7 linked regions of the Callithrix jacchus genome follow. The protein of the gene in region 1 purifies or fractionates together with the protein of each later gene. This does not show direct contact. Links are inferred from orthologs where the notes say so. Each region holds a gene or a part of one and is shown in the gene's direction. Other genes may lie near its edges.

Evidence for each region.
Region 2: the proteins of MED9 (region 1) and MED4 purify together in Homo sapiens (affinity purification with mass spectrometry; 10 studies listed by BioGRID and IntAct, with this or other methods). This does not show direct contact. The link is inferred for Callithrix jacchus from reciprocal best matches to the Homo sapiens genes MED9 and MED4.
Region 3: the proteins of MED9 (region 1) and MED26 purify together in Homo sapiens (affinity purification with mass spectrometry; 6 studies listed by BioGRID and IntAct, with this or other methods). This does not show direct contact. The link is inferred for Callithrix jacchus from reciprocal best matches to the Homo sapiens genes MED9 and MED26.
Region 4: the proteins of MED9 (region 1) and MED31 purify together in Homo sapiens (affinity purification with mass spectrometry; 4 studies listed by BioGRID and IntAct, with this or other methods). This does not show direct contact. The link is inferred for Callithrix jacchus from reciprocal best matches to the Homo sapiens genes MED9 and MED31.
Region 5: the proteins of MED9 (region 1) and MED20 purify together in Homo sapiens (affinity purification with mass spectrometry; 6 studies listed by BioGRID and IntAct, with this or other methods). This does not show direct contact. The link is inferred for Callithrix jacchus from reciprocal best matches to the Homo sapiens genes MED9 and MED20.
Region 6: the proteins of MED9 (region 1) and MED21 purify together in Homo sapiens (co-immunoprecipitation; 8 studies listed by BioGRID and IntAct, counting the BioPlex papers as one, with this or other methods). This does not show direct contact. The link is inferred for Callithrix jacchus from reciprocal best matches to the Homo sapiens genes MED9 and MED21.
Region 7: the proteins of MED9 (region 1) and POLR2G purify together in Homo sapiens (affinity purification with mass spectrometry; 3 studies listed by BioGRID and IntAct, with this or other methods). This does not show direct contact. The link is inferred for Callithrix jacchus from reciprocal best matches to the Homo sapiens genes MED9 and POLR2G.

Annotation. Positions count from the first base shown.
Region 1 is NC_133506.1:69,668,367-69,672,815, reverse strand, and holds the start of MED9 (mediator of RNA polymerase II transcription subunit 9), read left to right. Parts: upstream 1-1,501; 5' UTR 1,502-1,549; coding exon 1,550-1,776; intron 1,777-4,449.
Region 2 is NC_133502.1:67,843,330-67,847,559, forward strand, and holds the start of MED4 (mediator of RNA polymerase II transcription subunit 4), read left to right. Parts: upstream 1-1,287; 5' UTR 1,288-1,324; coding exon 1,325-1,449; intron 1,450-4,230. UniProt on the Homo sapiens protein: Component of the Mediator complex, a coactivator involved in the regulated transcription of nearly all RNA polymerase II-dependent genes.
Region 3 is NC_133523.1:15,191,197-15,193,695, reverse strand, and holds the end of MED26 (mediator of RNA polymerase II transcription subunit 26), read left to right. Parts: coding exon 1-794; 3' UTR 795-1,893; downstream 1,894-2,499. UniProt on the Homo sapiens protein: Component of the Mediator complex, a coactivator involved in the regulated transcription of nearly all RNA polymerase II-dependent genes.
Region 4 is NC_133506.1:108,206,801-108,210,575, reverse strand, and holds the end of MED31 (mediator of RNA polymerase II transcription subunit 31), read left to right. Parts: intron 1-2,806; coding exon 2,807-2,999; 3' UTR 3,000-3,193; downstream 3,194-3,775. UniProt on the Homo sapiens protein: Component of the Mediator complex, a coactivator involved in the regulated transcription of nearly all RNA polymerase II-dependent genes.
Region 5 is NC_133505.1:50,421,936-50,426,284, reverse strand, and holds the start of MED20 (mediator of RNA polymerase II transcription subunit 20), read left to right. Parts: upstream 1-1,413; 5' UTR 1,414-1,514; coding exon of another isoform or gene 1,515-1,528; intron 1,529-2,408; 5' UTR 2,409-2,459; coding exon 2,460-2,554; intron 2,555-4,349. Other genes in the region: BYSL (bystin), read right to left, coding at 708-975. UniProt on the Homo sapiens protein: Component of the Mediator complex, a coactivator involved in the regulated transcription of nearly all RNA polymerase II-dependent genes.
Region 6 is NC_133510.1:44,217,436-44,221,590, reverse strand, and holds the end of MED21 (mediator of RNA polymerase II transcription subunit 21), read left to right. Parts: intron 1-760; coding exon 761-875; intron 876-1,145; coding exon 1,146-1,246; intron 1,247-2,112; coding exon 2,113-2,289; 3' UTR 2,290-3,528; downstream 3,529-4,155. UniProt on the Homo sapiens protein: Component of the Mediator complex, a coactivator involved in the regulated transcription of nearly all RNA polymerase II-dependent genes.
Region 7 is NC_133511.1:120,037,354-120,041,749, forward strand, and holds the start of POLR2G (DNA-directed RNA polymerase II subunit RPB7), read left to right. Parts: upstream 1-1,555; 5' UTR 1,556-1,626; coding exon 1,627-1,638; intron 1,639-1,772; coding exon 1,773-1,882; exon of another isoform or gene 1,883-2,165; coding exon of another isoform or gene 2,166-2,194; intron 2,195-3,441; coding exon 3,442-3,601; intron 3,602-4,396. UniProt on the Homo sapiens protein: Core component of RNA polymerase II (Pol II), a DNA-dependent RNA polymerase which synthesizes mRNA precursors and many functional non-coding RNAs using the four ribonucleoside triphosphates as substrates.

The DNA of each region.
Region 1 (4,449 bases):
TACAGAACCTATACAGTGCTTGCCCCCAACAGTGCTTCCTTCTATGTCCCACTCCCCACAGATTTGCCTTCATACAGGCTTCCCAATATGCCTGGATATGTCAGCACTGATCCTTTCCCTGGCCACCTTGCCCTTATGCTGCATGGATGTGGACCTCTTTGCCTCTCTGTACTGCCCACGATGGTGGACTACAGCAGAATGGGCTCACCAGTTGACAGCTTTCTCCACTCATGTCTTCTATTCACTAAGCTTGGTGGGTGTCCCCATTGCCCAGAAAATTATTACATAGCCCTCATATCAAATTTGTTTTGAGAAGCATTACCACAAACCTGTCTCTGGCCTATGATCCCAGGGAGTCCTCCCTCATGCCAACAAGACCTCTTGGGATCAGCCACATATGTGAAGTTAGAATGCGGTTTAGGCTCTGCCATAACTCTGAACTAAACATGATTTTAGGGGTGAGGAAACTGGGACCTAGGGGCTTGGGGAAGTGGCCCGAGGGTATGGAGAGTAACTGACCTGTCTTTCTTCCAGGATATAATATTCATTCCTGGCACCAATCCCCTCTACCTTGTATTGAAAGCAAGGACAGCCTCCCTGCAACCACACGTACAAGTGGCCACTCAGCAGGTGCATACTAAACGTGTGTTGAGTTGTATTATTAGAATCTCAGTGGCTATGCAGCATTGGAGGGACAGCAATCCCTTTGCCTCTGTGTCCCTAAAGCTAAGCAGGAGGTCTCCACGTCTTGCACTGTGAGCCAGGCGGGGTTTGGAGCCACTGGCCCTGAAGGTCCCTACTCTCTGGATTCCCAGTGCCTGCGGAGCCCAGGCCTCAACCAGCAGGTAAGTGCAGTCCATACCTCCCGCGGGTCCAGCTGGTTCTTCTCCAGACTTGGGTGTACTAGGCCAGGCTGTGCCTTACTAATCTCAAGGCTTCCTGTGTTTGTGTGAATAGGAATAAGAAGATTGTTATTTCTGGCCGGGAGCGGTGGCTCACGACTGTAATCCTAGCACTTTGGGAGGCCAAAGTGGGAGGATCACCTGAGGATGGGAGTTCGAGACCAGCCTGACCAACATGGAGAAACCCCGTCTCTACTAAAAATACAAAATTAGCCAAGCATGGTGGTGCATGCCTGTAATCCCAGCTACTCAGGAGGCTGAGGCAGGAGAATCTCTTTCACCAGGGAAGCGGTGGTTACGGTGAGCTGAGATCGTACCATTGCACTCCAGCCTGGGCAACAAGAGCGAAACTCCGTCTCAAAAAAAAAAAAAAAGAAGATTGTTATTTCTTAAATAAATCCCCTATTTCTCACTATTTATTCATTTAGCAATCTTGACTCACAACCCAAATCCAGGCACCCCCCCTGGACCCACCGCGGCCCATTGCCTAGCAACAGCCTTCCCGCCCCGCCTCCGCGCCTTTGCCCACCGGGTGCTTAGTGCGCACGCTCTAACCCCGCCCTGTAGGACGCACTGTGGTGACGTGTACAGTCCGCGACGCTTTCGGTGATCCGACCTCTGGGTTGGGCTAACCTAACCCCGGCGTTATGGCCTCCGCCGGGGTGGCAGCCGGGCGACAGGCGGAGGATGCATTGCCGCCAACGTCCGACCAGCCGCTGCCCGACAGCAAGCCGCTGCCGCCTCCTCAGCCGCCGCCGCCGGTCGCTGCCCCTCAACCGCAGCAGTCGCCGGCGCCGCGGCCTCAGTCACCGGCCCGCGCGAGGGAGGAAGAGAACTACTCCTTTTTACCTTTGGTTCACAACATCATCAAATGGTAAGAACCTAGGAGAGGACCAGACCTCATACTCCCTCCAGCTTCTCGTCTCACCCTTTTCAGAGCTGCAGGAGGCCTTGGCGCTCTGGGGCACGCCCCCGTTTCAGAGTTAGGAAAACTCAGGCTCAGAGCGGGAAGAGGCCTTTCCCAATACCACAGAGCCATTCCATGAGTTAAGCAAACGATTTGGGCCCTGAGAGGTGCGATATCTTTAAGAATAAGGCCAGCTTAGAGACCAAATGCAGACGTTTGTCCAGAGGCTCAAGTGTACATCCAGCTATCTTGAGCAAATTAAATCTCTCTAAGGCTCAGTTTTCTCACCTTTAATGTTAGTAATACTTTAGTTCCTTATTTCAACAGACTCAGCAGATAAGCATCATCTTCCCTGTGTTAGATACTGCCAGGTGCTATGGGATGGACACAGTAAAAGGGGCCAACATTTCATCCCCAAAGGTTTCACCAGATAGAAGGAAAAAAAGACATGATTGGGAATAACCCATAATTCAAAAAGATTGAGAGGGGAGCAGTGGTGATGGGAGACATTAGACTAAACAAAGACACAGAAGTTGCCTCAGATGATTAGACCTACCTGTACTGACTTTGTTCTAACTGTTCTAACAGTGCGAAAGGAAATTACTGTCATCCTTTTGGCCAGCATCCAGGGTAGCCTGAGTTTTCCAAGTGACTCTGTAAAGAAAAAGCCAAAAACAAGAAAGCCAGAGTCTCACTGATCCCCATGTTTGCCTAAATTTTTATTATTTTTGAGACAGGGTCTTGCTCTGTCAGCCAGACTGGAGTACAGTGGCGTGATCTGGGCTCACTGCAGCCTCAACCTCCTGGCCTCAAGCCATCCTCTCACCTTAGGCTCCCAAGTAGCCAGAACCATAGGCATGAGCCACCGCACCCAGCGAATTTTTGTAGAGATGGGGTTTCACCACGTTGCCTGGGCTGTAAATTATTTTCATTATGTTACTGCACTGTGTGTATCCACGTGATACTAGTTGTAAACCCCTAGGCTTGTAACTCTTATTCAACCATTAAAGACCAAAACAAAGTAAATTAAAGGAAAATTACAATTCCAGTAACATTCAGGTGAACATTAATGTGCTCTTCACTGTTTTACTGAAATGGAATTGTTTCTTACGTGAAGGTCTCGACTGTTAGTGGCCCAGCCTCTTTTGAGTTTAAGCAAACTAGATTCAGTTGCTGTGGGATGACCTGATGCTGTTCTGCCCCTTTTCAAATAACTACAAAGGCTTTATTCTCCCATTAGACCCTGGCTTCACTTGGTGTGAAAATACTCTTTATAGGGTAAGGCAGCCTGTTCAGTTTTTGTGAGCCTGTGATAATGATCACAGACAGAAATACATATGCAGCCCCTGTAATCCCAGGTCAGTGCTGGATTATAAAGGGTTTATTCAGATTAACCCCAATTGACTGGTTTTACAAAAAATGTGGAAAAAGGAAAACATAAAATGTACACATTCACAAAGGCAGCTCTTGAATCCCTGAGAGATTCTTGAGCCCTGGTAGAGCAACTGGGTTGGGTGGCCTTAAAGATGTAGTAGTAAGTTTCACTAGAGAGAACAGGCTTTGAAGTTAGACGGTTCTGGGTTCAAACCTGTGTACTGACACTTTCTTGCCTTCTAATCTTGATATAAATGCCTAACCTTTCTAGGCCATAATCTTCTTATCTCTAATATGTCTATAGTGGACCTCATAAGATAGGTCAAATTATGTAATAGCTCTATAATGTGCTGACTGGGTGACCTTGGCAAGTAGCTTAGCTTCTCTGAGCTATGAAATGGGAATACTTATGTCATAGGATTGTTGGGAGGATGTACTGAAGAGCATACCTGTGAAACATAGTGGGTTGATCACATGTGCTTGCCTCTGTTCCATCTAAAAGGACAGAGAAGGGACTTCAAACAAACAAAAAGCATAGAACCTCTGGATGCAGTGGCTCATGCCTGTAATCCCAACACTTTAGGAGGCTGAGGTCAGCCTATTGCTTGAGCCTGGGAGCTCAAGACCAGCCTGGGAAACATAGCAAAACTTTCACTCAACAAAAAATACAAAAAAAAAATAGCCAGGCATGGTGGTGTGTGCCTGCAGCCCTGGCTACGTGGGACGCTGAAGTGGGAGGATCACTTGAGCCCAGATTACACCACTGCACTCTAGCATGGGCGACAGAGTGAGACCTTGTCTCAAAAATACAAAAGCATGAAACCAGAAGGAACAGGACAGGAGATTGCCACAAAGTGGATGGCTAGAGCAGATTCATCTGCCAACTCCTAAGCAGCTGGCTTGTTAAACATGACCTACCCCCATATATCAGGAACTCTAGTGCAAGGACCCTCTGGAACAGGGAGGGTGAAGGTGGGTCTAAGAACAGGAAGGTTACTTAGAAGTCTGTTTAAGAAGCAGGTCCCCACAGTCCTACTCCCAAGCAGCTGGGTGACTACCTTTCTTCCAACTTGGCAGATCGTTAAAAGGTTACTTTCCCAATTAGGAAGGAATATCTGGACTGGGGGACACCAGGCACACTGCAGGGGCAGGTGGGGGAGCCATACTGAAAAGAAGGATTAAGAGGAAGTTTGCAGACTAAGGAGTGAGACCCCACTCGAGCCTTCCCCCCCTGGTTTCTAGATTGGCAGCCAAAGAGTAGAAGTG
Region 2 (4,230 bases), on another chromosome or scaffold:
AGCTTCTCATGGCTGCTTGAGAAACACTAGGCCCAGGGCCAGGCATGGGTACTCACGCCTATAACCCCAGCATTCTGGGAAGCCAAGGGGGGTGGGGGGGTGGATCACTTGAAGTCAGGAGTTCGAGACCAGCATGGCCAACATGGCGAAACCCTATCTGTACCAAAAATACAAAAATTAGCTGGAAGCGTGGCACGTGCCTGTAATCCCAACTATTCGTTAGGCTGACGCAGGAGAAGCGCTTGAACCGGAGAGGCGGAGACTGTAGCTAGTCGAGATTGCAACCATGCACTCCAGTCTGGGCAACAGAGTGAAACCCGTCAAAAAAAAAAAAAAAAAAAGAAGGAAGGAAAGAGAGAGAGAGAGAGGGCGGGGGGTAGGGAGAGAGAAAAGGAAGGAAAGGAGGAAAGGAGGGGAGGAGAGGGGAGGGGAGGGGAGGGGAGGGAAGAGGGAGAGGGATGGGGAGGGGGGAGGGGAGGGGAAGAGAGAGAGGGGTGGGGAGGGGGGAGGGGAGGGGAGGGAAGAGGGAGAGGGATGGGGAGGGGGGAGGGGAGGGAAGAGGGAGAGGGATGGGGAGGGGGGAGGGGAGGGGAAGAGAGAGAGGGATGGGGAGGGGGGAGGGGAGGGGAGGGAAGAGGGAGAGGGATGGGGAGGGGGGAGGGGAGGGAAGAGGGAGAGGGAGAGGGATGGGGAGGGGGGAGGGGAGGGAAGAGGGAGAGGGATGGGGAGGGGGGAGGGGAGGGGAGGTAAGAGGGAGAGGGATGGGGAGGGAAGAGGGAGAGGGATGGGGAGGGGGGAGGGGAGGGGAGGGAAGAGGGAGAGGGATGGGGAGGGGGAGGGGAGGGGAGGTAAGAGGGAGAGGGATGGGGAGGGGGAGGGGAGGGGAGGTAAGAGGGAGAGGGATGGGGAGGGGGGAAGGGAGGGGGGAGGGGGGAGGGAGAAGGGAGGGGAGGGGAGGAGGGGAGAGGAGAAAAGAAAAGAGAGAAAAGAAAAGAAAAGAAAAGAAAAGAAAAAAGAAAAGAAAAGAAAAGAAAAGAAAAGAAAAGAAAAGAAAGAAAAAAACATTATGCCCAGGAGAATCAGACTCTGGTCTACCCCTTGTTCTCGGTTCGGCTGTCGCTCCCAAGGTTTCTACCGGAAAGCCCTCGCTGGCCCAGCAGATGGCGCCGGTGTCCGCAGTGCGCCTCCAGGCGCACAGGGGGCGGTCTCGCCAGGGCTTTCATTCCTTCACTGGGTGACTCTTCTGCCTTCCGAGCCTGCCTACCCGCCACGCCCCTGCGTCAGCATGCACTGCGCGTGCGCCAGCGGCGGGACGGTCGGGAGTATGGCTGCGTCTTCGAGTGGTGAGAAGGAGAAGGAGCGGCTGGGAGGCGGCTTGGGAGTGGCAAGTGGTAACAGCACACGAGAGCGGCTGCTGTCTGCGCTTGAGGATTTGGAAGTCCTGTCTAGGTAATGGCTCGAGCCTTAGAGCCGGGCTGGAGCTGGGCCGGGGAACTGACCCCGGCCGGCCCTTGATTTGCGCTAGTTCTCTGCGCTTGGCGGGGAGGGCCGGCGCGGGAGTTTCGGGTGCACGATGGTCCTGGACGTGGGGTCCGCAGCCCTTTGGCACTCTGGGCGGCGGTTTTTCCCGATAGAGGGAATTTTAATAATGATAGTAATCGTGGAAATTAAGAAATTGCGCGGTCGGAGCCCCCTTCGTCCACGGCCGGCCACTTAACATTTATGGAACGCCCCTTGGGTGCCAGCCACTGGGGTCTTGAAGGGTAGGCTGGATGCCAGAGACAGACAGATGTGTAAACTGGAGTGGGGCCTGTTTTATTAGAGGGCTGCACACAGGCACCCTGAAGAAAGGGCTGCTTGGGAAGCATGAGCTGGCAGACTCACTAGGCAGCAGGTAGATGGAACGGCATGTGCAAAAGCCTGGCTTGGTGGGGTTGCAAATTGTTTGGGATGGTTGTGTGGCAGAGGTAGGAGACGAAATTAGATGTCACTCTTCATATTCTGTTACTTTTCATGATAAGTATCTCAAGTTGAAGTCTTCCTTGACTCTCTCACATTGGCTTGCGTGGTAAATTATCTTGGTTCTTCTACCTCCTAAAATGTGACTCAGAGTTGCCGTCTCGTATCTACTCCGCTGTTAATAACTGCTACTTAAATGCAGCCTCCCAGTTTTAATTGCCTCATGCTTCTGCACTTTATCCTTTTATATTGGCCGAGACCAGTTTTAAAAGGCATGTTATATCATTTTACTGCAGAAAAATGATATAAAACCTATATCGTTGGTAGGTTTGCATTGTCCAGTGAGGTAAAGTTCAAATTCCTTAGCCAGACTTACACATCTTCAGTGCAAATCCCAGTCTACCCTCAATTTGGTGGATGATTCATTTATCCTTCAGAATCCAGCTCAAATGTCACCTTTTCTGTAGCCAACATTCTTTGACAGCTTTAGAATAAATCTTATCTATTGTATTTTAAAATATACCTGATCTACTTATAATCGGCACTTTATGGTGTTAAATTTAGTCTTTGCCACAACATTACTACCAAGTTACCAGGTCAGCATGATATTTAATGATGGAAGAGAACCCTAAAACACATAGACACCAGAAATTAAATGGCTATGTGTTTAATCCACTGTTTAAAATAAACTGTATTAGGGCCGGGTATGGTGGCTCATGCCTGTAATCCCACCACTTTGGGAGGCCAAGGTGAGTGGATTGTTGGAACTTCTTCACAGAATGAAACTGCTCTGATGTGAATGACTTCCAGAAAAGTGTCGTGTGCTCACTCAGACATAGTTATGTGTACCGATTCTGTGATCTGTGAAGTTTGTCAGTTTCTGAATGGAATTTGTGTCTGGATTGCATTTATGAAAATGAGAAGAAAATTCACAAATGTACCTTACATATTTTTAGGTTGAGCATCTTTAAAAACAGTGGATTCGTAACTTAGGGTTTTTTTGTTTTGTTTTTAATACATATTTTATTGCGTTTTAGATTTTGGGGCACATGTGAAGAACATGCAAGATTGTTGCATAGGTACATACATGGCAATGTGGTTTGCTGCCTTCCTCCCCATCACCTATATCTGGCGTTTCTCCCCATGTTATCCCTCCCTGTTTTTTTTTTTTTAAAACTATTAACCTGATTATGTAGCCTTTCAGGATATTTATTACTTTGTAAAATGTAATTGGAGGAGGTAGTCTTTGGAGGAATTTAAAAAGTTGAAACACAAGTTGTAGCTAAACGTTTTTCTTTTTTCTTTTTTTTTTTGGGACAGAGTCTCGCTCTGTCACCCAGGCTGGAGTGTAGTGGCATGGTCTTGGCTCACTGCAACCCTTGCCTTCCAGGTTCAAGAGATTCTCCTGCCTCAGCCTCCTGAATAGCTGGGATTACAAACACCTGTCACTATACCTGGCTAATTTTTGTATTTTTAGTAGAGATGAGGTTTCACTATCTTGGCCAGGCTGGTCTTGAACTCCTGACCTTGTGATCCACTCACCTCAACCTCTCAGAGTGCTGGGATTACAGGTGTGAGCCACCGAGCCCGGGCACTAAACGATTTCTCTTAACCTGTTTGTAACTCAGAACTCATTGTCCCGCAGAACCATGTTGATAGGAGTCTTGAGATTTCCACACCAGCCTGTTAATTCTGTTTACCTGAAAAGTGTATTGCCACTAATAATGTAGGCTCTAACCCCTATGGAAATTTTATTTCTGTGGGGAAATGGGGCTGGATTCTAATGTAGTATACCAGGAATGCACCTTCTTTGTAGCAGGACAGGGCTCTAATTTCCACATCTTTAACCAGACAGAATGAGTGTGGGCTTTCTTTGGCCTTTTTTCCACGATTGGAGAGGACATAGGTTTCCATCTTGTCCTGGACTGTTACAGAACATGATTAAGTCTTAGAGACTTCTACCTCCCCTGTACTCCTGTCCCTAAATCAAGCCTTATAAAGCTTTCTGTAGACTCATACTCCCAGATTTGCAAGAACAGAGAAAGGCTTATCCCACATCTCCTGCCATAGCCCCACTCCAGTGAGCACCACCCTTACCCCACCTGAAACCAGCTTTTACTTAGACCAGAGGTTCTCAACTCTCTATGTCTCACTTACAGCATACACGAAAAGGTTGACATAACATGCTGTTTTCATACACCATTGATTAAATCCATCAGCCGGTCCTGTTAGCTCTACCTCCAAAAGATGTATGAAATCTGTCCATGTTTC
Region 3 (2,499 bases), on another chromosome or scaffold:
GCCCAGTACGCTGGCTTGAGCAGCCTGAGAGCCACCAACGGCTGGCAGGGCCAGGCTGCAAGGCTGGGCTATCCCCGGCCGAGCCCCTCCTGTCCCGGGCAGGCTTCTCCCCAGACTCCTCCAAGGCGGACAGTGATGCTGCCTCCTCTGGGGGTTCGGACAGTAAAAAGAAGAAGAGGTACCGGCCTCGAGACTACACGGTTAACTTGGACGGGCAGGTGGCCGAGGCGGGCGTCAAGCCTGTCCGGTTAAAAGAGCGGAAGCTCACCTTTGACCCCATGACAAGACAGATCAAACCTCTGACCCAGAAAGAGCCAGTGCGGGCAGACAGCCCTGTGCACATGGAGCAGCCGTCCAGGACAGAGCTGGACAAGCAGGAGGCCAAGGCCAGCCTCCAGAGCCCCTTCGAACAGACGAACTGGAAGGAGCTGTCACGCAATGAGATCATCCAGTCCTACCTGAGCCGGCAGAGCAGCCTGCTCTCATCTTCGGGCGCACAGACCCCGGGGGCTCACCACTTCATGTCTGAGTACCTGAAGCAGGAGGAGAGCACCCGGCGAGGGGCCAGGCAGCTGCACGTGCTGGTGCCTCAAAGCCCGCCCACGGACCTCCCTGGGCTGACCCGGGAGGTCACACAGGACGATCTAAACAGAATCCAGGCCAGCCAGTGGCCGGGGGTGAACGGGTGTCAGGACACACAGGGTAACTGGTATGACTGGACGCAGTGCATATCGCTCGATCCTCACGGTGACGATGGGCGCTTGAACATTCTGCCTTATGTCTGCTTAGACTGACCGGCCCGTCAGCCACAAAGTGCATTCCCATCTTGCAGAAGCCAGGCGGGCAGGCAGGTGGGCGGGTGGCCAGGGCCCAGCTGCCTCCTGCGGCTGGGAACTCGGGGAGCCCGGCCTGGGCAGGAGGGAGGGGGCGGGAGTCATGTGGTCTCTCTGTGCACCCTTCCCTCAAAACTCTCCTTTTGTGAAATGCTGCTACCAGTTTACTAACAAAATTGCGAAGGAAGGACCGTGCGGAAGGAAGGACGGCAAAGTGAGTTCAGAACTCTATAGCAAACCAGCTATAAAAAGCGTTAGTCCCTCACCCCTGAAGAGGTGCGGACACTTTCCAGCACCTGAATGCTGGGACCTCAGTTGCAGGCAGGCACAGAAAACCTGTGGGAGAGGTTACCTTTAACACAGCAACAGAAGCACGCATCTCATCTCTCTTGCATTTCCTGTTCTTTAATTTGGCCCCGAGTGTCTGAGAGACAGTGGGCCATGCCACAGCCTCTGTTTGCCCCTACCCAGCCACTGTCAGGCCAGTGTTGTCCATCGTGTGCCAGAAGCTCCTCAGCTGTGGCGAGCCACTGGCATTGGGCAGAGAGGCCAGCTGGCTAACCAATATGACCCCAACTCCATGGGCAGCCACCTGTTTATATCTGGTTTCAGTTATAACCCAGTATTTACAGAAATGCTGCAGAAATTTAAGTTTTTTTGGGTTTAACTCCTCTTCCATCAGACCACCAAACAAACTTTTCCTTTCTTCCCCCCTTTCCTTTTTTCCCTTCCTGTACACATCTAGAAAACTTCACCTTTCTAGAGTCCCCCCTAAACAACACAAAAGTTACTGTGGGTGCTACTGGTTTTATGCTGTACTGTGGGGCGAGAGGGCAGACCTGTCTGTACGCTGGAAACACTCATAACCATTCCTTTAGATTCGTTTGCCTTATGGTTATTTGTCATAAACGCGATTTGCAAAAACAAGGAGCCTTAGTGAATGTACAGTACATAGACTTCTGTGTTCTCAGGACGCAGAAGGGAGCAACTTTGCTATTTGGTCCAGTAAGTGGACACCTTGTGATATAAATGTGGAAATAAAAAAACCCATTTGCACAAACCAGTATGAGAATCTTTTCTTATTTGGCCCTTCACTGCCAAATCAGCCCTTTCCTGGATTGTGGATTAGCCAGGAAGACCTAGACCCTCCAACAGCTGGGATATAGGGAGACAGGGTAGGGCATAGCCTTGAAATCCACCTGTTAGCCTGCTGCTGCATTTGGGAGGAACCTTTTATTCATTCAGGGGCACATTAAGGAACGTTTATCTTGTCTCACCCAGACCTGACTGGCGTAGAGAGCAGGCTCCATAGCACAGGTCTCTGACTACTCCCACCTCAACAAAGTTCTTACAAGGGATGGCCCAGAGGCTCAGAGCTGTGTGTGTGTCCGGCAGCCCAGCCCTTGGCCCTGGCCCTCAGCTGCCTTACTAGCTGGTTGGTGCTGACACCAAAAAAATGTTTCTCTCTTGGCTATGGAGTGGTAATATTTTAGTTGTCCCTCATCCCCAAAACTGTAAGCTAAGACTGGTTTTCTAGTTTCTCACTTTGGAATAGGTCATCTTACCTATATCTGCTTAATTTCACAAATGAAAAAACAGCTACATCTTAAGACATGCAGCACTACAGAGCAAACCAAAGGTTCCTTTCAGCCTGTAAAACTCCATT
Region 4 (3,775 bases), about 39 Mb from region 1:
GCTGATGCTGAGAGCAGCTGCCACTACTAGCTGCTTTCCACCTGGTGGAAGAGACTTTCTACCACTTGGCTTGGTTCATTGCTAACCAGTAGCTGCCACTATAACACCTCTCTTATGTCTCTTTTTCTCAACTCCCTTCAGCCATTGTGCCATGGTGCCCAGACTTCTCATGAATTCAGGTTCCCTCCTTTGGATATTTGGCAGTTGTACCTTATGCAGTTCAGCCAAGAACTAAACACAGGCCTTCAGATGTGGTCAGAGTACAGTGGGTCAGAGGTTCTTTCTTTTCTTTATGTGGACATACACCTCTATTAATTAAACTTAACGTTTATATTACTCTTGGGGTGGGGTGGGGAGAGGATCACATTGTTGACTTGCTGGGTGCATTAATGTCAACTGAAATCCTTCAGTTCTTACTTTCATCAATGCTGTTGGGTTCTCCCTATCTTGTTTATTTTTTAAAACACCAAATGCAGAACTTTCCTTTTCTACTGCTTCTGTTTCATCTTGTTGACTTGTAGCCTATCCAGAGTATGATTCTTTATTGTCGTCTAATACATTCTGATATAAACGCTGCCTGTCTAAATTCTAGTTATTGACCAAATGCTATTTGAGACTTGGTTGTCACATTATTTTACAGCTGAAGAAGCTAGCTGAACTTTAGAGAGGTTAAGTACCTTGTTAAAGGCTACCAGGCTGGACCTTAAATCCTGGTCCTTTTAACTACTGGTGCTGTCATGAAAGGGAATTAGCCAGGGCAGGTGTGAATAGAGCATTCTAGCATAAGCAGCCAGCAATTAGAGCAATTGTGTACTTTTAGTGTGTAGATAGCAAACCTTTACTGCCTTGGAAGTTACTCTCTTCGAAGCATGGTACTAAGCCCTCTATTCAGTGTGGTGTTCAGATCAGTAGCATTGGTTGCATTTGGGAGATTTTTAGAAATGCAGAGCTCATGCCCCACTGCAGACCTAAGGAGTCAGTCTGCATTTTAAGAAGTGATTCATACACACATTAAAGTTTGAGAAGCATTGCTCTAGCATCCTATTTTCCAAACTAGTCATTTGCATATCACTTCTACAACTTTGGCTTTATCTGCATACTTCCTATATTTCAATGTATTTTGTCTCTTTTAAATGCTTTTATATATTTTCAACTTGAAATAATTTTACTTACAAAATACCTGAAAAAATAATAAAGAGAATTCTTGTATTTTCTTCATCCAGATATTCCAGATGTTTAACAATACAATCAGCAAAAATCAGAACATTAATATGAATTTATTACCTAATCTACAGAGGTCAGATTTTGCCAGTTGTCCAGCTGGTGTGCTGTATGCAGTACAGGATCCAGTCTAGGCCTGCATGTTGCATTTATTGTCATGTTTTCTTAGTCTCCTTTAATCTCAGTGGTCTTTTCTTTGCCATGACTATGACAGAAATGATTTTGTATCTGTCATATATCTACAGTCACATGAAGTCTATTTGTTCCACAACTGGTGATATTAATTTTGATAACTTGGTTGAGGGTGGTACCTTCTAGGTTTCTCCATATCAAGTTACTATTTTTCCTTGTATATTTAAAATGTATCTTATGGGGAAATCCTTTGAGACTATGTAAATATATTACATATATTTTTGCCCATTAATTTTAGCATCATTTGAAGATACTTGCTTTTGAGGAAACAGTTTTCATTGTGATTTTCTAAATCTTTCATTCTCCATTTATTAGTTTGGAATTCGATTGTAGGGAAGTACTTTTTCTTGTTTTTTATTTATTCTTTTATTAAAGAAATTTGCATCCATTTAGTATGGACTTTTGGATTCTTATTTTTATTCTGTGAATTTTAATTATGTATTTTCAAGCTCTGAGTATTCCAGATTTGGCCATTAGGAGTCCCTTCAAGTTGGCTCCTGAATACTTTTGATCCTCCCAAGAATTTTTAGCACTTTTTCTTCTAGCATTACGTAATGTTCCAGGCTCATCTTGTCCTTTCCCTGTCTTATCCCTGAATCAGACTTTTCTCCAAGGAAACCTGCTCCTTGGAAACGGGGCACTGTGTGTTCATTAGTACCACAGTGTCATTGCTTCTAGGCCCTCTCAGTACACAAAGCTCAAGAACTCTATATATGTATGTATGTGTATACATGCACACACATATATATCTGTCTATGTCTCTATATATTAAAAGCCCTAAGTACATGTTGTTTTCAATACCAGCTCGGTAACACAGGGTTCGTTCTAGCCTTTTTCCTTTACTTGTCTATAAGTCCTTTTCTGGTAGCCAGAAATTTGGCTCTCCATATCCACAGTATATTTACTTGTCCAATCCTAGAGTATACCTAATTTCAGAATTGGTATACCCCTGTGGACAAGAGTACAACGTATATGCATAGTCCTCTTTCAAACTGAAATTGTGTTTTTATCACTATTGATGGAAAAACCAGTAACTATCAATTAAACACATAATTACTAAAATATGTTCATGTTCTTCACCTTGGAAAGCACTAGAAGGGAATAGCATGGTTTGTCCCTAAATTTTCACTCTGCTTACCAGTTACTGTGTTCTGTAGTCTTGAGCAAGTTAATTTAATCTTTCTGAACTTAAACCTTCTCACTTGAAAATTTTGCTGAACACTGACTTTTGATGACTATGCAGGGGAAAAACCCTATGCTACTAGAGTGTACTAAGTTAATGTTATAGAAATGGTAGGCTACAAGATCATTTTTAAGAGAATAACTGAATTAGACCTTGGCATTATTTACTACTTAAATTATGTTGTTCATTCACTTATAAACTTAAACCCAGGTACCCTCAGTGTTTACACATGTTAGAGCTGCTCCAGTATGAACACTTCCGAAAGGAGCTGGTGAATGCCCAGTGTGCGAAATTTATTGATGAACAGCAGATTCTACACTGGCAGCACTATTCCCGGAAGCGGATGCGCCTTCAGCAAGCCTTGGCAGAGCAGCAACAGCAAAATAACACATCGGGGAAATGAAAAACTGGATACAGACGAGGCTCTGAAGATATATATATATATATATATATATAAAAAATGTATTTCTTATGTACAGTGAAGACAAAAAAAATGAAAACTCTTCCTATCTAGCTTTATTATGGTAGCATCTAGAACTGTTAGTATGCTTTTTAATCAAACTAACTTTTTATTGTTAATAGACTATCACTGTTAAACCTGAAGTGTTCTACTTTGATTTCCATATGGATTTTAAGGTGTTTCTTTTTTAAGCATTTAGTATAATCAGCTGATTAATAATGGAAAAGTTAGGTGCTTTAGACCAAATAAAGAAGGCATTGGGGCATGGGGTAGGGGTGGGTCACTAAGTATACTGAATTCTAAGGCTAGCTCTTCCTGACATATAGTAGGGCAAGGCCATCTCCTGGAACCTGTTTCTCAGATCAACTACTCTACCACTCTTACCTATGTAGTGAGAGTAGCGGAGTCAGTGACTTGTTTAAATCACCAGGAAGGAACTACATAAAGGTTCTTAAATTCTGCAGGAAAGGAAATACCTGTATACATGTTTTGCAGGGTGGCTTTAAGAATCACTGTGACCTCGCTTGACCTAATCACGGCACAACAACTAGTGGTTAATTACTAATTGGTCTCTTGACTTTAGAACAAAGATGAGGAGCCTCAAATACTTGTGCTCACTTGGGAAAGCGAACACTGAATTGGGGGGGTACCACAAACCAGGTGCTATGTTAAGTGCTTCCTTGAATTCTCAGAACCTTGTTTATAAAAGACAAAACTGT
Region 5 (4,349 bases), on another chromosome or scaffold:
GATGTCTTATAACCCAAGTAAGGATACTGTGGGCAGGAGGCCACTATTCAATTGTGTCAAATATTGCTTTAGATGAGATCTGAGAAGTGGATGAAGCACCTCAGAGGTAAGCACTCCCTCCCTAGTAAGAACCTATCAAACGTCAATTCATTTCTCTCCCTTTTTGTCTGCGAAACGTGTTTTCTGCTCATTACACTTCCCATTCGTTTTTCAGTTCTCAGCTTAAAGGTCCTACAATCGGAGAAGCTTCTCAAGACCAATGCTACTGTCACCAGGGAAACGATATTTTATCATGGAAATATATTATTCTAAGAGTCTACGTAATTGTCTCTCCGCTGGGCTTGACTGTAAGGTCCTTAAATCAGACGTGTCTGTATGTTGTTACTTCTGTACTCAAATATTCGATTGAACTTCGAGCATAGCGCAAAGCTCGTAGTAGGTTTTCCATAAATATTTACAAAACCAATGGATAAATGCTAAGAACACTTAGTGGCGCGAGCGATTACTTCCTATTGGCCTAACTTCGGGGGTGCCTAGAAGGGAGTGCCTAAAACTAGGAGTGGGCGCGGAGGTCTCTGGCCATTGCTTAGTCTCCCATTCCATTACTTTTGCAAGTCCCCTGCCGGACACTTTTTAGCTGTCCTCCCCCCCGCCCCCGGCCCCGCTGCTAGCCATTGTCTTGTTCGGACCTCATCCCAGACACTCACCCAGCCGCGTGGTGCGTTCCTGCGGCGCCGCGGGCTTGTCCCCAGTCCCATGCTCGGCCTCGAGCTCCTCCTGTTGCTGCCGTGCTTGCTGCAAAATCCGTCGGCTCAGCCGAGGCCCCACATACTCTTCCTCCTCTTCTCCGGTGCCACGACCCCGCCGCTTCTCCCGGACCCCTGCCCGCAACGCATTCCCAGCTAGGATCTGCTCAGCCAGGGGCGCATGTTTTTCCTGACCCCCGGCCCCACGGGTGGCCTTGAACTTGGGCATTTTTCTTGAAAATACTGCCGGGAAGGTTCGCACGTGGGGACGACGAAAAGGCCAGAATACACTTGGGTGAACTCCCACCTCCCAAGAGGCCACGCTGCGATCACAGCGCCCTCTAGCTATCGGAGGCCAGAAGCGCTATCAGCACCGCCCCTCCCACTAAAAGAGCTCCTGGGTTCCGGAGCTGGACTCCCAAATACATTTACTTCCTTTAACGTTGGCGTCTCTCAATAGTGCAGTCTAAGTCTCGTTCTTCTAGCTTCATGGATCTAAGCCTAGAGTGCTCAGCCAACCGGGAATTTCCGGAGCTAGAAACATGAGAGCGGGAATCCACTGATTATGTCACTGGAGGCGTCACCGACGGGTGCCAAGACACGCCCCATTCCTTGGGGAAGGCGTGGACCCGGCGCTCTGTTTTTACGTATTTCCGGAATCCCTTCTGCGACCGAAGCCTGTGTTGGGGAACTGAAGCAGTTCCTGTGGGCGGACTGGGAACGACGCATTTCTACTGTGTGATCCTGCCACCTTCCTGTCCCGACACCATGGGAGTGACTTGGTAGGACTGCAGGGGTTTTGTGGGGCGGGATTTGGAGTTGTGAAGGGCCGGGAAGAGGTCCTTGACCATGGCCCGCCGTCCTCTGGGAGCTGAGCGAAATGTCCTCGGGTTATCTGGATAAGAGGATACCGTGCGGGCCGCGGGTTCCCTGGGCCTTTTTCCTCGGAGATGCGCTCTTACCTCTTGGAAGGCGGCAGAGCAAAGGTTTTATACCAGGGACCTATCAATGGTTATGTACCTTCTTCCCTTATGGGTACATCTTCCTTCCCGTGAGGCCATAGTACTGTCTGCACTTGGACCTCAAGGTTGGAAATAGGGACTTTGGATTAGGACCTACCTGCAGACAGGGTTGGAGGGAGTAGGTTAAAAGCGATCAGGAGACAGTATTTTTTTTTTTTTTTTTTGAGATTTTCGCCTACCCTTGTCTCAGCCATCAAATGCAGTTAGACCAGCTGGTGTCTGTTTGTAATTTGCCCATTTTAAGATCTTGGGTCTAGAGGAAAAAAGAGGCTATTGATAAGAAGGAGATCGTGGTTCCAGGCACTCTTTAGGACCTGCTTCTCACTATGTTTAATTCCATGGTTGGTCTAGTTTCAATGGAGTTTTTATCTTTCATATGTTTTAAGTCTCAGTTGGAAGATGAGGTGGCAGGGAAAGGTACAACGCTCGCGGAGGCATTAGTTGTAAGGTACTAGGTCCCAGACATTTTTTTTTCTTATCGCAGGAGGTGTGAGCATCTTTCCTGTGGGAGAATCCCGGGGGCCAGGATATCTGAAGCCAGTGGCTGTAGCTCATATAAAAGCGTGTGTGGGGTAAATACTTCTCCTGGTAGCCCCGTTTCTCGCGGGTTTCTCAGTGATTGCACTCTTGTTTCCCACAGTTGACATCCTCCTCCTCCTGTGTTCCTTAATGGAAGCAAGATACGTGAAAGATGGAAATGGAACGGATGCAGCGTAGAACCCTGGAACCCTTTGCTCTTTCTTTAAAAAAAAAAAAAAAGAAATTGGGTCTTGCTATTTTGCACAAGTGGGTTTTGAATTTCTGAACTGAAGTGAGCCTCCTGCTTTGGTCTCCCAAAGTGTTGGCATTACAGACATGAGCCATTGTGCCCTGCCACCCCTGCTCTCAAATGGAAAAGGCAGCTCCAGGGAAAGGATGTAGGGCACGTTGGGAGCCTGATGTAGGGCTGATGGCCCCACAGGGTCGTGGGGTGAGCCTTATGCTGTGCTGAGGCGCAGGATCCGAGAAATAAAGAGACAGGACACAGAAGTACAACAAAAACGCAGCTGGGCTCAGGGTGGAGAGGGGGGCACACCACCTAGAAGCAGAGTCAGGCGAGGCCCCGAATGTCCAGAAGCATGAGTATTTATTGTGTAGGTTAGGGGGCAGGCCAGTGAGTGAAATCATCTTTAAGGATAGAGATAGGGTCGTGAGCAATAAAACATGGGGTCCACCCCCATGAGGTCACCTAGGCCAGGAGGTGGACAGTGCACAGCAAAGGGCCCGTTCCCACAAAGGCAAGGGCCGTGTGCAGTAAGGGGTCCACCCCCATTAGGTCACCGAGGTATGAAGGTGGGCCGTGCTCAGTGTGCAATACTTCTATCTATGGTCAAACTCCTTCTAGGAAGATTTATAGGAGGATGCTTTAAGTCACATAGCAGTGACAGAGCTGTCAGGGTTACCGCCACCTTCTGGCAGCTTCCAATGGGTCCTATGGGAAGATGCTTTTCAAGCAGCACAGTAGCAAGAGCTGATAAAGTTCACAGTCACCAAGGTGGATTGCCGTTCTGAGGGCAGCCTTCCACAAGAACGGGAGCAAGGTCCTACAACTCCTTCATGAGGAGGAGTGGCTCTCGTCCCAAGCCTGCCATACAGCGGGTATCTTTACGATACTGAACGCTGCCGCCTGGGCCATGGATTCTTGTCCTGGCATAACTGTTTTTCCCTTAAATCATGCTCTGCACAGTGTCTGCTCTTAGGCATTCCTCTGATTATAAGCTGCTTATTCCTTAATTCATACTATGTACTGTGTCCACTCTACGCATTCCTCTGATATGAACTAAGATATAGGTATACATGTAGGGAAATATTCTTTAGGCACTCATACTATTAACTATTATATGATTATATAGAGAAGATTATATAAAGGGATTTGTCAAGCCCTATTTCTATAAACTAATATATGACTGTATAAAGGATTATATAAAAGGAAATGGCTGAGTGGTAACACTATAAAGTGAGATATTCCTCAAGCCCTAACTGTGCCAGGGTTCTACTTAGCTCTCATTCCTCGGTGCCTATATGGGGGTTACCCACAAAGGGCTCTCTGTGGTAACCTTTAACAACTTTTTCAGAATCCTAGGACTTCTGTCCCTTGTAGCATCCGTTAGGGATTCTTTTATATTTCAAAATAAGGCACATTAGCAGCATTGTTTATCAGTGCTTTTTCTGATAGAGTAGTGACAATTTTTTTTTTAAGACAGAGTTTTGCTCTTGCTGCCCAAGCTGGAGTGCAGTGGGTGCGATCTTGGCTCTTTTTAACCTCTGCCCTCTGGGTTCAAGCAATTCTCCTGCCTCAGCCTCAAGTACTGAGATTACAGGCATGCACTACAACATCTGGCTAATTTTCTTGTATGTTTAGTAGAGATGAGGTTTCACCATGTTGGCCAGGCTGGTCTCAAACACCTGATCTTGTGATTCACCCATCTCAGCCTCCCAAAGTGCTGGGATTACAGGCATGAGCCAACGTGCCTGCAAGCAGTGACAATTTTTAGCAACAGATGGACTCTACCTTAATAGATTCATTTAGTTGATCATAAAG
Region 6 (4,155 bases), on another chromosome or scaffold:
GACTGTCAATACAAATTAAACAGAGAAAACAGTTGCCTTTGAGTTCTGTAATTGAACAATGGCAGAGAAACCCAGTGCAAATGCTTATTAGAAATAGGAGGTTTGAGAGGTCAAGACTAGGTGAGAGAAATTGGTGGGGAGGATAGGCGTTTTTAATTTGGAGATGATAAGGAATTGCTGTTCTCAATCTTTAGAAGTACTTAAGGAGTACTTTTAGCGCACAAGAGTTTAAAACTTGAGTCTTGAACAAATATGTTTCTGATTACTTAAGGTGCTTTTCTGAGCAGCCTTTTCCCCACTATTTCTTTATGCTTGTAACTACTCCAGTTTCAGAAAAGGAATTATATACTTTGTACATGAATAATAAATTTTCATTTGACGCAATGCCATAGGTAGATATTTGCAAGTCAGATTTCCATCACTGCTCTTTTCCATCACTGTTCCCCAAAAGTCTTTACTTTTGGCTTATAATAAATATTGGCTAGTGTTCTCTTACCATTTTACTATCAAAAGAAAAGAAATATTATTTTTATTTCAACTGTTTCAACTGGGTTGATACCAAACTTAGTTTCTTTGCAGAATTAAAATGTTTAATTAACGTTATTAGTAACTGGCTTATTTTATCAGCAATTATTCCTTTCTGTTTTATTCCCTTACTCAGAGATTATGATTAAAGAAATTTATTGTTGTTGCTGTTATCAATAAAGTCCTTAAAATTGATAAGTCCTTCCTAACCTTGACATGTTTTCTTTGGCCTAAGCTTGCAGATCAGTTTTGTAATGCCATTGGAGTATTGCAGCAGTGTGGTCCTCCTGCGTCTTTTAGTAATATTCAGACAGCAATTAACAAAGACCAGCCAGCTAATCCTACAGAAGGTAAACTGGTTTTCTTAGCTTCTCTTTGACTCTCACATTTATTGTAATCCTTTCAAATTAGATTTATTGAGCAATTCGGCTTATTTTGTTTCCAAAAATTATGCTTAATTCCCAATTTGAGCTAAATGTGTAATAGGATTTGTGTATATTTTAATCATTAGAATCCTAGTGCAGAAAAAGCTATGTGAAGTTTCCAGTTTCACTAACTTAAAATTTGTTCTGAAAACTTGAGGTTTTCTAATGACCTGATCTAGCATTATCTTTCTCTAGAGTATGCCCAGCTTTTTGCAGCACTGATTGCACGAACAGCAAAAGACATTGATGTTTTGATAGATTCCCTACCCAGTGAAGAGTCTACAGCTGCTTTACAGGTAAGTCTTTATTCCTTTGAGAATTTTACCAGTAATAGAGAATTTTGAATTAAAGGAGCAAGGTTTAATACCTTTTGTCTGTGTCCATTTGTGCTGCTGTAACAGAATACCTGAGACAATAATTTATAAAGAACAGAAATTTATTTTCTCACAGTTTCTGTAGGCTGGGAGGTCCAAGATCAAGACATTTATTACTCATTGTGCATGAGTAAGACATTTTTATTTAACACAGTGCTATGTTTAGGGCCATGTTTAAGGCCATGTTGAGGGCCTTCTTTCTATTTCCTCACATGGCAGAAGGCAGAAGGACAAAAGAGCAAGAATTCCCTCTTCAACCTCAAGCCATTTTATGAGGGCACTAATTCTATGAGAGCTTTGCCTTCATGACTTAATATCCTCTTAAAGGCCCTTTCCTTCTTAATACCTTCACATTGGGGATTAGATTTTAACGTATGAATTTTGGAGGGGACACATAACGTATGAATTTTGGAGGGGACACATTCAAATCATAGCACCTTTTGTTATAATATTCAATTTTCCATTATAAGGAAACCTCTTATTTCCTCAATTGTGTCTCTTTTCCTAGTGAAGAATGAGAGGAGGGTGGCATTCTAGATGTGGAGTAGAACAATGGTGCCCAAATGTAGTGTGGAAGGGAGTCACTTACAGATATCTAGAGATTTCTAATTGAAAATTCATTCTTTTTAATAATTCAAATGAGGAAAATTCTTAGAAGTTATCTGATTTTTAGAATTTCTTTGCTGAAAAACACAATAATTGCAAAGTCATCCAGATTTAAAAATAAGTACCTCTGTGACAGCTTCCCTCGTTAACTCTAAAGATTTCAAAATTTCTGTCTTATAAAGGCTGCTAGCTTATATAAGCTAGAAGAAGAAAACCATGAAGCTGCTACATGTCTGGAAGATGTTGTTTATCGAGGAGACATGCTTCTGGAAAAGATACAAAGTGCGCTTGCTGATATTGCACAGTCACAGCTGAAGACAAGAAGTGGTACCCATAGCCAGTCTATTCCAGACTCGTAGCACCAGTGGATACCATGTGGCTGAGAAAAGAACTGTTTCAGTGCCATTAAGAATTCTGCATCAGACTTAGATAACAAGCCTTACCAACAGTTACAGAAGCATTCAACACTATGACACATGTTCCCTTTTTAGCTATTTTTAATAGTCTTCTGTTTTCACTCGTGATAAATAAGCTTATAAAATAATGATTGAACCAGCTTTAAACCGTCATACCATCATTTTTTAACTGAAATTATTAAGGCAGATGATGCATTAATAAACATAAGTAAACATATATAAAATTCTATTGTGACATGATTCATGTCTTTATTTTGTTGTCTTGGCCAGTACTTTTACAAATCAAAACATTTCTCAAGCCAGAGAAGAAGGTAGTAAGAACAGACATAAGGGACATTTTAGTTTAGGCTAGCATCCTGCCTCTTAGAGGTGGCATTGTGTAAATTTGAGCTTTGAGCAAGAAAGTTTTGGAAATTGTATTGCTTTTAAATAGAGTTAGTGTGGCTGGATAAGTAAGTCACATTTATGCAAATGTTTCTTCTTTCAGAACTTCATACCTGTTCTAGTTCATCTACACATTCTACCAAGAAATCCTCTGTCAGAATTTTCCTGCTATTGTGAAAGAATTCACCTTGTATTTTTCATCCTTCTCCTTAATTTGCTTGCATCACAGTGAAGTATGTTTTTGAATCGTCAGTTCTTTCTCAGTCTCTTTATTTATCTAAAGTTTCTTTCTTTTGCCCTTTATTAATCTCTCAACTTTTATTGCTGTATTCTAGTCAGACCCGAACATACTTTCAATACATCAGTTACTGGGCTCTATTTCACCTCAAGTTATTATTGCTAACATTTGTATCAGCATTTTCAACTATGGTTACTCATCCAACCCTTGGATCTCTTTTAGTCTAGTGATTTTCTCCACTGGAAAGGTGGAATTAAAATGTATTCACATTTTAACTGGCCATTTCCTTGGGCTATATTTTTCAGAATATCCTGAGCTACATTTGCTGTAATCTTGCTATTCAGAGTTTAAGTTTCCAGAGAAACCAAAAATACAACACTGCCTGTTATTTTTGTCATAATCAAGCTTTTCCACAGTTCTTGAAAAGTACTGTGTTTCAAATTTCAGGAACACCAGTGTTAGCTATAAAATTCGTAACAGTTTATTGGCTTGTCACAGAAAGTTTTTGAACTTTTAACTGTATTTTCATTGATGTTTATTAAAAACATTTTGCTATCACAGTTATTGTCCATAAATCTGTACTCTTCATTGTAGTTTTTGGAGGAGAGAAGATTTGATCAGAAAACTGATTTTCAAAGTACTTAAGTGTTATAAAGGAGTCAAGAAGGTACAAATAGAAAATGTCAGGCCGGGCATGGTGGCTCATGCCTATAATCCCAGGACTTTGGGAGGCTGAGGCGCGTGAATCAGGAGGTCAAGAGATCTAGACCATCCTGGTCAACAAGGTGAAACCCTGTCTCTACTAAAAATACAAAAAATTAGCTGGGCATGGTGGCGTGCGCCTATAGTCCCAGCTACTCAGGAGGCTGAGGCAGGAGAATTGCCTGAACCCAGGAGGCAGAGGTTGTGGTGAGCCGAGATCGAGCCATTGCACTCCAGCCTGGGTAATGAGCGAAACTCCGTCTCAAAAAATTTCACAACCTCTCAGAATAAAACATAATAAAATAGTAACCCTAAATTTTATTTTATTAATACATTGATAATTAAATGTTAATGATCTAAGCTGATTTAAATCTCAAAACTGGATAAGAAGCTGTGGCTCTTATAAGGAAAGACTTTTATTCATTAGACCTATAATTTGGTTTCTTCATATGTAAATTAAGAAGAGTTTAATAACCTGCTTCTGT
Region 7 (4,396 bases), on another chromosome or scaffold:
GTTACGGCAATTTGGTTGGCTATAGACAATGTTTCTTTTTGGAAAGAGACATGTAACATTTTTTTCCAGAGCATGAAATAGTCATGGATTTTCTGTCATGTAGTCTAAGCAAAGCAGAACAACAAAAGGCAAGTTAATCTATAACAAGGGTCATTCATTAAGGAGGCAGGAGGTTTTTTTTGTCCCTGAGGTCATTTAAGTCTTTCTAGTCAATGTAGAGAACAAGACAAATAAGAAAGTGAGTTGATCTATAATCTGAGAACAGAAATTGTAAACTGTATGTGACTCGAAGTCACATCTCTCTCGAGGCTTAAAGTGGTTTTTGGGATTCCAACAACTTTTTTTTTTTTGAGATGGAGTTGTGCTCTGCCGCCCAGCCTTGAGTGCAGTGGCACAATCTCAGCTCACTGCAACCTCCTCCTCCCAGGCTCAAGCGATTCTCCTTCCTCAACCACCAGAGTAGCTGAGATTACAGGCGCCTGCCACTGCGCCCAGCTAATTTTTTTTTTTTTGAGATGGAGTTTCACTCTTGTTAACCAGGCTGGAGTGCAATGGCGCATTCTCAGCTCACCGCAACCTCTGCCTCCTGGGTTCAAACGATTCTCCTGTCTCAGCCTCCCAAGTAGCTGGGATTACAGGCATGTGCCAACATGCCCGGCTAATTTTTTTTGTATTTAGTAGAGACGGGGTTTCACTATGTTGGCCAGGATGGTCTCGATCTCTTGACCTTGTGATCCACCCGCTTTGGCCTCCCAGAGTGTGCTGGAATTACAGGCGTGAGCCACCGCGCCCAGCCCCCCCCTTTTTTTTCAAGTTGGGGTTTCACCATGATGGTCAGGCTGGTCTTGAACTCCTGACCTCAGGTGATCCACCTGTCTCGGCCTCCCAAAGTGCTAGGATTACAGGCGTGAGCCACCGCGCCCGGACTGATCCCTTCTCTTAGAAAAGAAAAAAGAAAGACAAAGGTCTGGTGTGGTGGCTCATGTCTATAATTCCAACATCTTGGGAGGTTGAAGCGGGAAGATCACTTGAACTCAGGAGTTGGAGACCAGCCTGGGCAACACAGAGACTCGGTCTGTACAAAAAAAAATTTTTAAAAATTAGCTGGGCGTGGTGGCACGCCTGCTGCCCCAACTACTTGGGAGGCTGAGATGGGAGGATCGCTTGGGGCCACGAGTTGGAGGCTCCAGTGAGCTATGATCCCGCTAGTGCACTCCAGCCTGGACAACAGAGACTCTCTCTCTGCCCAGGGCAGTGAAGTACTTGGGCCTCCAACAAACATGTGTAGATATATATTTGCTGAATCGATTTGCTGCACTCTGTTATAGCGCTTGACTTATGGATTCTTTCACTAATTAATCTCGTTATAAGTATTTACTGAGTGGTTGTTATAGTTTGTGCATTAAGAGAATTGCCTTTTGAGGCCCAGGTTGGGCGGGCGAGGGGCGTGGCTTTAGTGGTTCCCGCCCACGACAGCGAGGCCCAATCAAACCCGCGAAGGGGGTGGAGTTCCTCCCTCTGTCGCGGCCGGCCCGGAACTGGGGTTGCTGAGGCTATCTGTGCTTCCGGTGGATTCCCGGAGGCGGCAAGAGGTGTGGATTTAGCCTCGCAGACTGCTCTGGGAAGATGTTCTACCACGTGAGCAGGGCTCAGGGTGGCAGCAAGGGCTGGGTGGGAAGGAGGAGCAAAGCCGGGCGCCGGCGCGAGGGGCCCCTTCTTGCCCGATAACCTCCCAGCGCCTGGCCTGGTCGCCATCCCACTTTTCTCCGCAGATCTCCCTAGAGCACGAAATCCTGCTGCACCCGCGCTACTTCGGCCCCAATTTGCTCAACACGGTGAAGCAGAAGCTTTTCACCGAGGTGGAGGGGACCTGCACCGGGAAGTGAGTGCCGACTTCACCGCGCAGCCAGATCGCACACACGAGGCGCTATACCTGCAACCCCTCCCCAGCTCCTGCTCGTCCTGCCACCCACTCTGGGGACCTCTCTCACTCTCTCAGGCTGCCAGTTGTTTCCTGCTTTGGGTTCCCAGGACTCCCTCTGCAATGCTGGCCGATAAGACTTCCTTCCCTCCGTTGAAATTAATCATTCATTTACTCCTCAAACATGTTAAAAAAATCCTTGCTGTGTGCCAGGACCCGTGTTGGGCCCTGAGAACAAGATAGAATGAGACCAGCCCTCGTGGAGTCCACAGTGTAATTACTGTTCTTGTGTCTGCTCTCCCTCTGTCATTCTGCTGGTTTTCTCTTATCCCCTGTGCCCAGGGACCACACACCATGGGCCTCAATATATATTCTGAATGAATGACCAGAAAAGGCAGATCGAGTTGGGGGAGGAAGGAAGCAGCTTGGGACTTGAACATCTCTGGGCTTTGTGCAGAGGAGCCTCTCCCAGGGTGGTATTAATGACCCAGCCCAGGGCAGTGGAGTTACTTGGGTCTCCAGCATCAGAAAAACCTGGGGTGGTTCTTGAACATGCAAATTCCTGAACCTCATTGTTTCCTACAGAATCAAGATTCTCTGGGGCAGACCTGAGAATCTGCTTATTTTTTCTTTTTTGAGATGGAAGTCTCACTCTCACCCAGGCTAGAGTCCAGTGGCACGATCTCGGCTCACTGCAACTTCTGCCTCCCGGGTTCAAACCATTCTGCCTCAGCCTCCCAAGTAGCTGGGATTACAGATGTGCATAACCACATCCAGCTAATTTTTGTTTTGTTTTTTTTTTCTTGTGATGGAGTTTTGCTCTTGTTACCCAGGCTGTAGTACAATGGTGTGATCTTGGCTCACTGCAACCTCCGCCTCCTGGGTTCAAGCAATTCTCCTGCCTCAACCTCCCGGGTAGCTGGGACTACAGGCACGCGCCACCATGCCCAGCTAATTTTTGTATTTTTAGTAGAGACGGGGTTTCACCATGTTGACCAGGATGGTCTCGATCTCTTGACCTCGTGATCCACCCGCCTCAGCATCCCAAAGTGCTGGGATTATAGGCGTGAGCCACTGTGCCCGGCCTTAAGTTTTGTATTTTTAGTAGAGATGGAGTTTCTCCATGTTGGCCAGGCTGGTCTCAAACTCCTGGCCTCAGGTGATCCACCTGCCTCGGCCTCCCAAAGTGCTGGGGTTACAGACATGAGCCACCGTGCTGGGCCAGAGAGTCTGCATTTTAATAAGATGATTCTCAGGCATCCCAAAGATTGGCCCCTGTTGGCTCAAGGTCTCCAGCCATCTTGGACATTTATTGTGAAATTATCAGAGCAGCATTTGGCCTAATACATACTGATCTGTGTCCTGTCTTCTCTTGGTCATTAAGCTCTGGTAACTGAGGTGCTAGCAACTTGTCCTTTTGTTCTCCTTGACCCTCCTCCCAAAAGCTCAGTGACTTTTACTGCAGAATCTTTAGAGGCTCATGGACACAAAATGCCGTTTGTTTCTCCTCCTCCTTGCAGGTATGGCTTTGTAATCGCTGTAACCACCATTGACAATATCGGTGCTGGTGTGATCCAGCCAGGCCGAGGCTTCGTCCTTTATCCAGTTAAGTACAAGGCCATTGTTTTCCGGCCCTTTAAAGGAGAAGTCGTGGATGCTGTTGTCACGCAGGTCAACAAGGTGAGACCATACATAGGGGAGCCAGTGGGGTAGTCTCTTGGAAGATGTCGTTGGGTCCTGGCTCCACTTGATAACTCTGTGCCTTCAGCTAAGTTACTTTACTTTTTGTTTTTGTTTTTTTTTTTTTTTGAGACAATTTTGCTCTTTAACCCAGAGTACAGTGGCACGATCTTGGCTCACTGCAACCTCTGTCTCCCGGGTTCAAGCGATTCTCCTGCCTCAGCCTCCTGAGTAGTTGGGGCTAAAGGCATGTGCCACCACGGCTGCCTAATTTTTTTTTTTTTATGGTAGAGATGGGGTTTTGCCATGTTGCCCAGGCTGGCCTTGAACCCCTGAGCTCAGTCAGCCCACCTCAGCCTCCCAAAGCACTAGGATTACAGGCGTGAGCCACCATGCCTGGCCAGTAACTTTTACTTCTTGTGCTTCACTTTAAAATTGTATGGCAATCTGGCCCTGTGTGACTCAGAGGGCAAGGGAGTCATTTATAGTCATAACAATAGAAGCCTGCATTGACTGAGTAGTTACTATGGGCCAGGTAATGTGCAGAGACCCACAGTGATTTTACAAGGTGGGTGCTTTTTTACAGAAGTTGAAGCTTAAGTTAAGTGTACTGGTCAAGATCATGTGCCCAACCAGTGTTCAAATCTTTTTTTTTTTTTTTTTTTTTTTTTTTGAGACGGAGTTTTGCTCGTTACCCAGATTGGAGTGCAATGGCATGCTCTTGGCTCACCGCAACCTCTGCCTCCTGGGTTGAAGCAATTCTCCTGCCTCAGCCTCCCGAGTAGCTGGTACTAC